Linked DNA regions of Ovis aries. The protein of the gene in region 1 interacts with the protein of each later gene in a pairwise test. Links are inferred from orthologs where the notes say so. Each region holds a gene or a part of one and is shown on either strand. Other genes may lie near its edges.

What was found.
Region 2: the proteins of PNMA1 (region 1) and SPATC1L interact in binary tests that used the Homo sapiens proteins (3 or more experiments, as listed by UniProt). The two-hybrid records come from large-scale screens. The link is inferred for Ovis aries from reciprocal best matches to the Homo sapiens genes PNMA1 and SPATC1L.
Region 3: the proteins of PNMA1 (region 1) and TEAD4 interact in binary tests that used the Homo sapiens proteins (3 or more experiments, as listed by UniProt). The two-hybrid records come from large-scale screens. The link is inferred for Ovis aries from reciprocal best matches to the Homo sapiens genes PNMA1 and TEAD4.

Annotation. Positions count from the first base shown.
Region 1 is NC_056060.1:83,213,337-83,217,727, forward strand, and holds PNMA1 (paraneoplastic antigen Ma1), read right to left. Parts: upstream 2,876-4,391; 5' UTR 2,061-2,875; coding exon 999-2,060; 3' UTR 217-998; downstream 1-216.
Region 2 is NC_056054.1:266,614,664-266,618,308, reverse strand, and holds part of SPATC1L (speriolin-like protein), read left to right. Parts: 5' UTR 1-1,687; coding exon 1,688-2,036; intron 2,037-3,645.
Region 3 is NC_056056.1:212,613,713-212,617,357, reverse strand, and holds part of TEAD4 (transcriptional enhancer factor TEF-3), read left to right. Parts: coding exon 1-3; intron 4-364; coding exon 365-517; intron 518-1,327; coding exon 1,328-1,441; 3' UTR 1,442-3,645. UniProt on the Homo sapiens protein: Transcription factor which plays a key role in the Hippo signaling pathway, a pathway involved in organ size control and tumor suppression by restricting proliferation and promoting apoptosis.

The DNA of each region.
Region 1 (4,391 bases):
TATTTTGCCTTCAAACACTTGTCTGGTAGAAAACATGCAAAAATTGAATATATTGAAAGGTACTGAAACTTTAAATTACATAGTATGATATAAAGCTTAAAGTAAAAGAACTGAGGTTTGGGGTTTTTTTCAGTGACATGGCGAAGTCTTCCGAAGAAGATCATAGAGCTTAATTACACTGAAAGTTTTCATACATGTCAGAAAAACAAGACAACAGAATTTTTAAAATATTTTTATTAATAAACATGTGCTTGATAACTTCAAATTTAGAACACTTAGAACCAGCATGAACAAGGTAAACTTCTTCAATGATAAAGATTTGAAATGGGGGAATAGATACTGAGCTGGTTCATATTAACCTCCCTGTTCTATTCGTATCTTGTTCAGTGAAAACTTGATTTACACAACTCTAAGTGCAGTATTTCTAACAACTCCTTTTGCAGCCTCAGAACACGTCTCAAACTGATCTAGATGTTTAAAGATGAAAAATGAGAAATTTGCACTGTAAAGTTGAATAATATCTAATTCACATTTCTTTCCATTAATATAAATCAGAAACAATTTACAGTAAACACAAAAACTACTCACAATAGTAGTAATAACAACAGTTCACATTTTTACTCAACACTTCTTGTGTGAGCCAGGCCGTGCACTAAAAACTTCTGAACATGCAATTTCACATTCAGTTACCTCTGGGAAGTGTCACGAGTTCCCATGGTTTTCACAACTGATGATGATGACGCCATGACAGCTTGCAGCACTGACAATTTGCACTGTCCAAGTCTCTCCCTGGCATTGTGGCTGACATGACTCATACTGCAGCAGCTCTGGTGCTGGCTTGCAAGCTTTTACCAATGTTAACGTGAATATGCAGGCCTGACTTACCCCAGAAAAACCACGCTAAGTCTTTACCACTAGGTGACATACCTGCAGGACAGCACAGAGACACGAAAAGCAGCTGTGATCTAGGTCTGCACTAAAGTCAGTTTTCTCGGGACTCAGAAGTGCCCCTCCAGGCCTAACTGCAAGAGGGCGGCTTCAGCCGCCTCCTCCTCTTCCTTGGCCTCCTCCTCACGGATCTGCACAAGCAACTGGAAGAGGTTAGGGGCCGGCCCTTCCGCAGCCCCAGTCAGCCATAGCTGCCTTCGGATGGCCCCGCTGTGGTTGGCCCCGGCAATGACTTGTTCCAGGCGGGCTTGGTTCACGTTATCTTTATCTATGGCTCCCTTCTCCACCACTTTCTGCAGCAGAGGCTCCAGACGAATGACATAAGCAGATAATTTTTCTCCCGGGTTCTGGTAAGTGTTCAGAAATCTGACCTGCACATCCCTGGAGCTCTCCACGCTTCCAAACACCTGCTCAAGCGCCTTCAGGCATTCGGCGGTGGTAATATCTGGGTTGTTGGTCTTGAGGATGCGGATGACATCAGCAGCAGGGCCTCGAAGACTCTCCATCAACCGCCGCCTCTTTTCTATATCAGACACCTGCCACTCCTCAATGACCTCATTAGCGTGCTCCAGCCAGGGCTCAAATGTCTCCTCCCCAGGCCCCGGGATGTCCCTCCCCGAGAACAACGTCAGCTTCTTGTACCATATGGATTCTATAAGAGGCTTAATAACATTATCCAAAATATAGTTTAGCATCTCTGCTGGCATATCTGGGCCTGGGGCCGGAGCGGGGTTCTCAAACCCAAGGACACGGGCAACATCTTGCACAGTCCATCCCTCTCGGGCTAGGAAGAGATGCAACCTTTCTAGAAATTCAGCGTCGGAAGTCGGAGGCTTAAAGACTACTTTCCAGACCCCTCCTTTACCCGGCATCTCCCTAGGGATGGCAGCGTAATCCACAGTTCCAGTGAGCTCTAACAAGGCTGCTTTGGCATTCTCTTCCCTCCAGAACATTCTCCCAAGCACTCGATAGTGCACCTGGGGCATCGCAGCCTGGAGGGTCTCTTCGATTTCAGCCTCATCGCAGTTCACCGGGATCCCCCAGACCAGCAGGGCTCTCTGGGAATTCACATCCATCCCTCTGCACCAGTCTTCCAACAGTGTCATCGCCATTTTCCCCAACTATCAAGAGCCCCTGATAGTTGGGTTATCAGGGGGTTAGATAAGTTAAGACTGTGGCTCCCTGTGCTAAAGGACTTAGGACGACAGCGGACACTCCCCTGCAATTTGCCCAAGGGAGTCAAGCTTCAAGCAATCACAATTAACAAACGACACCAGAGTCCAGCTCTCGTCCTTTCACTGCCTCCACCAACGTCCGTCCTCCGCGTCCTCGGAGCGAAACTTGGGGGATGCTCAGTCACGCGCCCAACGCCATCTCGTGTCTCCGGTCGGCGTCCGCGGGCCGGGTCCCGCACTTGCAGGCAGGGTGTCGTGTCTCCGCGCAGAGGCCCGGAGGGAAGGCAGGAGGAGAAGGCAGGAGACGCCGCGCTCTGAAGAGGCCGCCGGGGTGTGATCCCGGGGCGTGGCCGCCAGTTCTCCGCAGCCCAGGAGCCGACCACTCGCTGCTGCCCCTCCTGGCATCAACCCGGCTTCCGCGGTCAGAGCTCGGCCTTCAGGCGCGCGAGGAGCCGCTCCTCTGCAGACTGCGAACTGTGCCGTCCCTGCAGGGGGAGACTGTCCAGAGGTCGCAGCGAGGCCAGCCCAAGAGCGGCTTCTTCGCTGGCGCAGGTACACCTCTCTGGGCGGCGAGGACAGTCGGATACCCTGAGCACCAGCAGCCGAGGCGCGGGAAGGAGGCGGGAGCGAGGCTAGAGGCGGCGCCGGCGAAGGCAGGCCGCAGCGGCTGCGCGTGGGCTGCGGCGAGCTGACCCCGAACGGCGTTGAGGGGCTGCCGGCCTGACCGACCCGCAGCCAGCCCAGGCGTTACTGCCGCAGCGAGGGGCGGGGCCGGCCGACGAGTGGCTTTCGCCCCGCCCCCGCAGCCGAATCCTGCGCGAGCGTAGCCAAGGCAACGGCGGCCTGGAAGACTCCAGACCCTGACGCTCCGGCTGCCTGCGGTTGCCATGGTGCCAGCTAAGGGCCCGCGGAGCGTCCTCTGATGGCGCATGTCCTTTTTCATTTTCCAGATTTTTTTTCCTTTTTAAACAAAGCACTGTGTTTAAAAGTTTAATATAATTCTGGAGTGCATTGAAGATGATATGAGTCTGTCAAGAAAGACTTAACTCACGTCGCTCCTTCAACCAGTCCAGTTCAGTCGCTCAATCATGTCCGACTGTTTGCGACCCCATGGACTGCAGCACGCCAGGTCTCCTGGTCCATCACTAACTCCCAAAGTTTGCTGTTTAAAAACAGATGCAGTACCAGCCGATCGATCGCACTGTGCACCCTCCGCGAACTTCATTCCAATAAGACTAAAACGCTGGAAGTGTGCAGTGTTCTCCTGTCAGACACTGAGTTGAGCCTTTTTCTTCTAAAATTTTGTAAGATCTAGATCTATTAAGTAACCTTTGTAGCCAGGCAAACGCTAGTGTGTTATTTCCCCTGTCCTGGCATCACTGACAAAGGGCTGATAAAACAGAATGCTTATGGCTCAAAAATTTCAAGTAATTCCTTGCAAGCAAACCAAGGCCAATTTACGTCAATCCTAGATGGTGAAAATCTCCCCTAAAGGACACAGCATTCAACTATGAATTTTTAAAACCTTATTTAATAAAAGGTTTAAAGATACAGAAGAACATTCAAAAGTAAATAAGTTACATAGGTACATTACAATCACATCAGCAAGATTTTCTTTAGTGTGTTAATTTTTTTTTTTATAAAAAGCACACAAAAAATAAAATCTTCCGTCTGGTCTATCACAACTGTACAGCAAAAGAGGTAATATTTATATATATGTACACTATTTTAATATGTAACAGTCTTTTTAAAAAAGGGTGCCACAGGCAGCAAACACACAGAAGGCAGTGTCTGATTTTTTTTTCAAAATAAAAGGAATATACTTATTTATATGCTATTAAAATATTTGTACAATAATTACAGACTGTCAAGGCTGTTCCTGTGCTCTGTCCCCTCCAACAAGGCCTTCGACTGAGAGACAAATGAGGAAAAGGTGAAACAGCTGCAAATTGTTAGAGGCAAATATTAACACAGCAAAAATATGGGGAGGACATACAATTGTTTTATAAAAATATGCATACTTCCTGTAAACCTAAGAAGTTAGGCTTGCCAGTCTGGTAATAAATACCATGCAAGAAAAGTGAGCCTCAATAAAAACATTTAAATAGCTGAGGCTTGAATATGTGTTGTATTCCTCCTTCATCTTAACATCTGGCACGTGAGAAGAGGTTAGGTCACTGAGGCAGTTAAATATATGGGATCCCTTTAGACATAAGCAGCACACGACCTCTGTGCCAGGGTGGAAGTGGGCAGCAGAAAGGATGGGTT
Region 2 (3,645 bases), on another chromosome or scaffold:
GAAGTTTTGGTGGCTGTTTGCATGTGTATCCCAGGATCCTCAGTTTACGTGGACAGGGTGGAGCCATTCTACACTGACTCCCCAGCCGTCCATCTTCCGTCCTTGACCATTGGCCATCTCCTGGAGGGCTTGCTCACTGTTCCCTGTTGGTTCACCACCAGCCCTTAAGTCTGGTCCCCATGACAGGAGTGCTCCTCCATCTCCCAGCAGCCATGGGGGCTTCACAGGTACCCCTGCTCACGGGGGCTGTCCAGGAATCCTTGGGTCAAAGGCCACGTGCAGCTCAAGTGTTGACATGGACACTGGGACCCTCTCCAAAGGGCTGTGGCCTCTCCTGCTGCACCTTTCCCACAGCTGGTGTCACCCATGGGAGGGGGCCGCTTTGCATATGGTGCACATGTTCTGAGGGACAGGGTGGGGTGGGGGCCTTGGCCATCCCAGGCCTTCCCCTCCCAGGCCAGTTTCCTCCAGATCACCCTCGTGCCTGAGCCCCTGGCGTCTCAGAGCCTCCACAGTTGCCTGGACGCCTTGTCCTGCATGGAGTGTCCAGTGATGTTAAGTAGTTTCTGAGTGTTCTCTCTGCCTCTTCCCTTTACCATCACGAGACAGCTGCTTCTGTATTGTCATAAATACATTCTAAATAGCTGTGTAATAGTCCAGAATCAGATGAACCGGAATTTAATGAACTCTCCTTATGTTTGAAATGACAGTTCTTTTCTCTTACCCTGAAGTAAGTGTTAGTTGCTCAGTTGCTTCTGACTCTTGTAACCCCATGGACCATAACCCATAAGGCTCCTCTGTCCATGGAATTCTCCAGGCAAGAATAATGGAGTGGGTTGTCATTTCCTTCTCCAGCTCTGAAGTAAGTGAAGTGAAGTGAAGTCGCTCAGTTGTGTCCGCCTCTGCGACCCCGTGGACTCTAGCCCACCAGGCTCCTCTGTCCATGGGATTCACCAGGCAAGAATACTGGAGTGGGTTGCCATTTCCTTCTCCAGGGGATCTTCCCAACCCAGGGATCGAACCCAGGTCTCCCACATTGCAGGCAGATGCTTTAACGTCTGAGCCACCAGGGAAGCCCACCCTGAAGTAAATACCACAGCAAAAGCATTTTCTATTCAGAGTTATTGCCTTAGGGTATGTTTCCCTAAAGGTAGAATCACTGGCTCAGAAGGCAGGGTAATTATTTTCACATCTCTTTTTCTTACATTTGCCCAGAGGGTGAGATAGTCCCCTGCACCTCTATTAAGCTGCTCTGACTGTTTCTTCAAGTCTCTTTAGCCATTTCTCGCATAAATCTTTCACATTAATTGGTTTATTCCTGGGGCACTTTATGTTACTAATTGCAATCATGGATGGGATTTCTTTTTCCACTGTGTTTTCAGTTATCTGTGTTACTGTGTTTTGGAAATCTGTTGATTTGTAAATATTTAGCCTATATCCAGGCCCCTTATCATATTTTGCTTACTTTATATTTTTATTTTTACTTTTGGCCACCAGGCATGCTGGTTCTTAGTTCTCCGACCAGGGGTTAAACCCAGGCCCTGGGCAGTGAGAGCGTGGAGCCTGAACCACTAGACCACCAGGGAATTCACTATCCAGTCCCTCCCTGAGCTATTTTGTTCTGCTGAGTTTTCCAGTTCTTTCTCCCGTTTTCTCAGTTCTGTAGCTGCTGTTTACAGACTTTTAAATGGGGTTGGCCTCTCAGATGGGCTTCCCTGCTGGCTCAGTGGTAAAGAATCCACCTGCCAAGCAAGAGACAGGGCTCAATCCCTGGTTCAGAATGATCCCCTGGAGAAGGGAATGGCAACCCACTCCAATATTCTTGCCTGGAGAATTCTCACAGACAGAGGAGCCTGGCGGGCTACAGCCCATGGGGTCACAAAGAGTTGGACACGTCTTAGCAACTGAACAACAACGGCAGCTCATACGCTCGTTTCTGTCTTTCTTCCTCAGGAATCCCAGGACTTTTGGCCTTGACAGCCTCCCCGCTCATCCTTCTGGAGGGTGGTCGGCAGTGGACAGCCCTGTCTGTCCAGGTATTGGGGGTGGGGGGTGTAGGCTGGGTGCTGGGGAAAAGCCTTCTAGTCCTTATTTTTTAAGAACAACAATGACAACAAAATTGAAGAAGGGCTCATTTTGTTAAGATTTTATGACCTCACTTCTTTTCTGGCCAAAGTGCCCTCAGCTGCACCCCCACTGGCCTGTGGGGTCTTGTTCCACTGTGTCATTGAGAGACTCCTGGTTCTGGGCCTGAGCTGTTTGCTGTGGGATCTGTTTGGCTGGGGCTTCGCTCAGGATCTCTGGACTCTGTTTTCTCTAATTCCTATGTGAATCTGGGCTGCAGTTTTCTTTCTGTGAGTTGTCTTTTCAGGGATTTGATATCAGAGTTATGACAATTTATAAGCTTGATAATCAAGCATCGTTTAATTTTTTCAGTGTTCCAGCCTCATTCATGTGATGCAGGGGTTGTGAATTGTTTGGGGACTTGAAAGAACTCATCCACCAACCACACAGGTCTTCAACTCTTTGCCCATAATTCTATAACTTCTAGGTTTTTCTTTTTTGCTTATTCATCTGTGCAGGTTTTCTACTTCTTATTGAGTCATGGAAAATAGCTTCCCAAGTGATCTCTCCTTTATTAAAGTTTTCAAGTAATATTCAGTTGGATATAATCTTTTATGATTTAAACATTGTCTTCCTGGTCATTCTTATCTGGCTTTTCTCATTTTCAATTTTATTCTTTTGTTTTCTGTTTCTCTAAAGTAGCTTTCCAGGGTTTCACTATCTTATTGGACTTTTTGTAGAGCTGTTTCAAGTTTATTTCTGCTGCTATTTTTATTATTCTCTGACTTTTGCTTTCTTCAAGAGTTCATCCCTATATGAATGTTTAATTTTTTGATTATGTTTTAGAAGTAATTAAAGGATTTAAGTTGCTAATTTCACTTTAGATACAGTTTTAAATGTATTGATGGCAATATACCTAGTGTTCTGATTTTCATTATTTCTCAATAATCATTCTTTCTATTTCTATTTTCTCCTTGATCTGATTATTACTGAAGATAATTTTTTTTCTAATATGTATATATTTTTTGGTCTTAGTTGTGGCACTTGGGCTTTCTAGTTGTGGAGTGGACTGAGTTGTTCTGCAGTATGTGGGATCTTAGTTCACTGACTAGGGACTGAACCCACAACCCTTGCATTGCAAGGTGAGTTCTTAACCACTGGACCATTGGGGAAGTCCTGAGAATGCTTTTAATTTTGAGGAGATAGGGTTTTCTATTGACTCTGACTCATTTATAGTTTAATATGGTTTGAAAGTTTTGATTATGTGTATATGTATGTGTATGTGAAGTCGCTCAGTCCTGTCCGACTCTTTGCGACCCCGTGGACTGTAACCTACTAGGCTTCTCTGTCCATGGGATTCTCCAGGCAAGAATACTGGAGTGGGTTGCCACTTCCTTCTCCAGGGGATCTTCCCGACCCAGGAATCGAACCCAGGTCTCCCACATTGCAGGCAGACGCTTTAACCTCTGAGCCACCAGGGAAGTTTTGACTGAGGATTTAAAAAATTGTTTTATGTTTCACACAACTTTGTTAAGCCTTGGGAATAACAGAAGGGAATTTCAGTTCACTAAATAGAAACTA
Region 3 (3,645 bases), on another chromosome or scaffold:
GAGGTAGGCCATGCTGCCCACCTGGGCTCTGGCCCCTCACGCGCACACACACACCGCCCCCAGCTTGGGCTTCTCGCCTCTTCCCCTAGATTTGTCTGAATTAGGGCAGTCTCACCCTCACCTCGTCCTTACCACTGACAGCCTGCCTCACGCCCAGCACGAGCCGGGGAGTGGTGGGAGGCCAGGCACCCCCATCCTGGTGGTTCTCACCGGCTGTACATCAGGTCTTGGGGGGCCAACACCCTGGCACTGAGTCCCCCACAGTGTTTAACCCCAGACCTCTCCCACCTGCGGGTGGTGTCTGGGAACCGCCGGGCTGGCGGTGGGCGGCGGCCTCCTAAGCCGCGCGTCCCCGGCCCTGCAGACCGAGTGCGCGCGCTACGAGAACGGCCACTACTCCTACCGCATCCACCGCTCCCCGCTCTGCGAGTACATGGTCAACTTCATCCACAAGCTGAGGCACCTGCCCGAGAAGCACATGATGAACAGTGTGCTGGAGAACTTCACCATCCTGCAGGTGTGGGGGGACAGGCGTGCGTGTGTGCAGATGTGGGAAGGCAGGTGTGTGTGTGGGGGACAGGCGTGCATGTGTGCAGATGTGGGAAGGCAGATGTGTGTGGGGGGGACAGGTGAGTGTGCAGGTGTGGGAAGGCAGGTGTGGGGGGAAGGTGGGTGGTGTGTGCTGGTGTGAAGTCAGGTGTGGGGGGGAGGTGGGTGGAGTGTGCAGGTGTGAAGGCAGGTGTGAGGGGAAGGTGGGTGGTGTGTGCAGGTGTGGGGGAACAGGTGTGTGTGTGGGAGCAGGTGGAAAGGCAGGTGTCTGGGGGGGACAGGTGTGAAGACAAGTGTGGGGAAACAGATGTGTGTGTGTGCAGGTGTGGGAAGGCAGGTGTGTGTGTGTGGGGACAGGTGTGCGATGTGTGTGTGTGTGCAGGTGTGAAGGCAGGTGTGGGGGGAAGGTGGGTGGTATATGCAGGTGTGGGGGGACAGGTGTGTGCGTGTGTGCCAATGTGGGAAGGCACGGGTGTGTGTGGGGGGACAGGTGTGTGGTGTGTGCAGGTGTGGGAAGGCAGGTGTGTGTGTGGGGACAGGTGTGTGGTATGTGCAGGTGTGGGAAGGCAGATGTGTGTGTAGGGACAGGTGTGTGGTGTGTGCAGGTGTGGGGTGACAGGTGTGTGGTGTGTGCAGGTGTGTGGCGACAGGTGTGTGGTGTGTGCAGGTGTGGGGGGACAGGTGTGTGCTGTGTGCAGGTGTGGGAAGGTAGGTGTGTGTGTGTGGGGGGGTGGGTGGTGGGCGGAGCGGACAGCACACTGTCTCCCACACCCCACAGGTGGTCACCAACAGAGACACCCAGGAGACCCTGCTGTGCGTCGCGTACGTCTTCGAGGTGTCAGCGAGCGAGCACGGGGCTCAGCACCACATCTACCGGCTGGTGAAGGAGTAGAGACCAGGGACAGGGAGGGGGTGACATCACGTGTGCAGGGACGAGGGGAGGGGCCCCATGGGGCAGCCCCCGAAGCACCGAGAGTTGAGGTGGTGACTCTTCTACCCAGGAGCAAATTCTGCCTGAACCTGCAATTGCCCAAGCCCAATAAACCCCAGCTCTGTGCGTCTTCAGAGGCCCCGTCTGGCTGCGCGAGCCCCGGGAGGGCTGAGGGAAAAGGGGCCGGATGCCACCCCGGGCGTGGCTGTGAAGCCAGGGCTCCGTGGACTCGGCCAGGACGGTTGCCAGCTGCCGACGCTCAAGATGGCATGTCCCCGAGCTGCCCTGGAGGCCTTGCCCCCGGCTCCGGCCACAGTGGGAGGCCTGGGGACAGGCACGGGTCCCCCACCTGTGTGTCCTGTGCGGGCACCTCGGCCACCGGGAGTGATGTGTCTGCCTCACTTTCCCCACCGCCTCTGCTGCCGCTCCCTCTGAACAGCCGACGGGGAGGCCGGCCCAGCTCGGGGGTGGGTTTCAGGTGTGGAGGTTAGACAGGGGCAATCAGAGCTCTTTAGCTCCAGTGGGCGTGAACTCTCTGGCCCTGCCAGCTGTCTGGGGGGTGGGTTCCAGGTCAGGGGGGGCCCAAGACAGAGAGGGTAGGAGTGCTGGGGCCAGCTTCTGAGTGTGGGTGGGGGCTCTGGGGTTCCTCGGTGTCCTCTTCGGTGGTGAAGGCCAGGAACGTTGGTCTGAGGTCCGCGCTGTTCTGGTGGTCTTTGAGACCATGCAGTTGGTATGCCTTGCCATCTCACAGCAAACGCCTCCCAGCCAAGAAGCCTGCTGGGTGGTGACCACCTCGAGGCAGCCGCGCTGACCACCCCCTCCCCGGACGGAAGGTTCTATGCACCCTGGGGATGGAGGAGAGGGGAGTGGAGCCCACCCTGGGCCTGGGGGGACCCCTCAGCTGAGGGAATTTCCCTGGTCTGTTCCTCCTGGCAACTGGCCTCAGTCCTAGGGCTCCCCGCTGCCTGCCCTGTCTCAGCGTGTGTCCTTTCCTGCCTGTAGAGGGGGACGGCCTTAGTGAGGAGGACATGTCTGTATAGTGCCTGACGCAAGGTGCACTAAAGAGAGAAAAAGTTACCGTCCTCTTACCCCTCCTGGCCCTTGGGATACTGGGAACCGGCTCTTTGCTGCCATCTAGTGGCTGTTTGCTATCATCTTGCCTAATAGGGACCCACACTTCCCGGAGCCTGGAACCCAAGGAGACTAAGAGTCACGTGCAGGAGTTTTGTGTGCTGATCTCAGGGACATGTGTGGGGATATGAAGTGAATAAGATGGTGTTGAGGAGGTGTTGTGTGGTTAGGAGCCAGGGCTCCAGAGTCAGTGGCTAGGATTGGAATCCTGGTGCTCAGCTTTGGACTGTGTGGCCTTGGGGAAGTTACCTAATTTCACTGTGCCTCAGTTTCCCCATCTGTACAATGGGTATAACAATAGTACCTACCTCGTATATGTAGAGTGCCTAGCGTGGTGCCAAGCACACGAGCGCGTGCTGTGAGTATGCATTATTATTAATAGCACTGACTCTTGCAGTCTGAGGAGTCAGCTTGGGAGACTCTTAAGTGGGGGTGGGGTGGTCCTCAGAGCAACTGGAATTCAGAGGTGGGAGGGGGTGGGGCTTGGAAGGTTCAGGGAAGAGGCGGAAATTGAGAGGGGCTGCTTCTTGAAAGAGAGGCATTGCCTAGATGAACAGCCTGAAGGGGCAGTCTGCTGGCAGCTCTGGACAGGGCAGGAGGACCAGCCCTCCAGCTTCCTTCTGGACAGCTGCTAGACCCCGGGCCAAGTCGTATCTCCCTCCTGGGTGCTGGGGCCTGGGTGCGAGGGGTCCCTGAGTCTCTGAGAATTGTCTACCGTCTTTGTGTGGTTTGGGTCTGGGGAGGCTTTCCTGCCCACCCCTGGTCACTGTCATGGCCTTTGCCCTCCCACCTCCCCACCCGTGTTCCCGGAGCTGTCAGGATAAAGGGAGCCCGTGACCTCTGTGCCCGCACAGGACTGAACCTTCGGACAAACACTGGTGTATGAGTAGCCTTGGGCCCTGGGACAGATGCACAAACTGCGTCCATCGTTTTGTGTCCTGGGTCTAGGGAGTCCATGTAGATGTTGGGGCCAGAGCTGGCTTCGAGTGTTCCCTTCTCTTTAGGGCCTGGTCTCAGCAGCCTAATGGACAGTC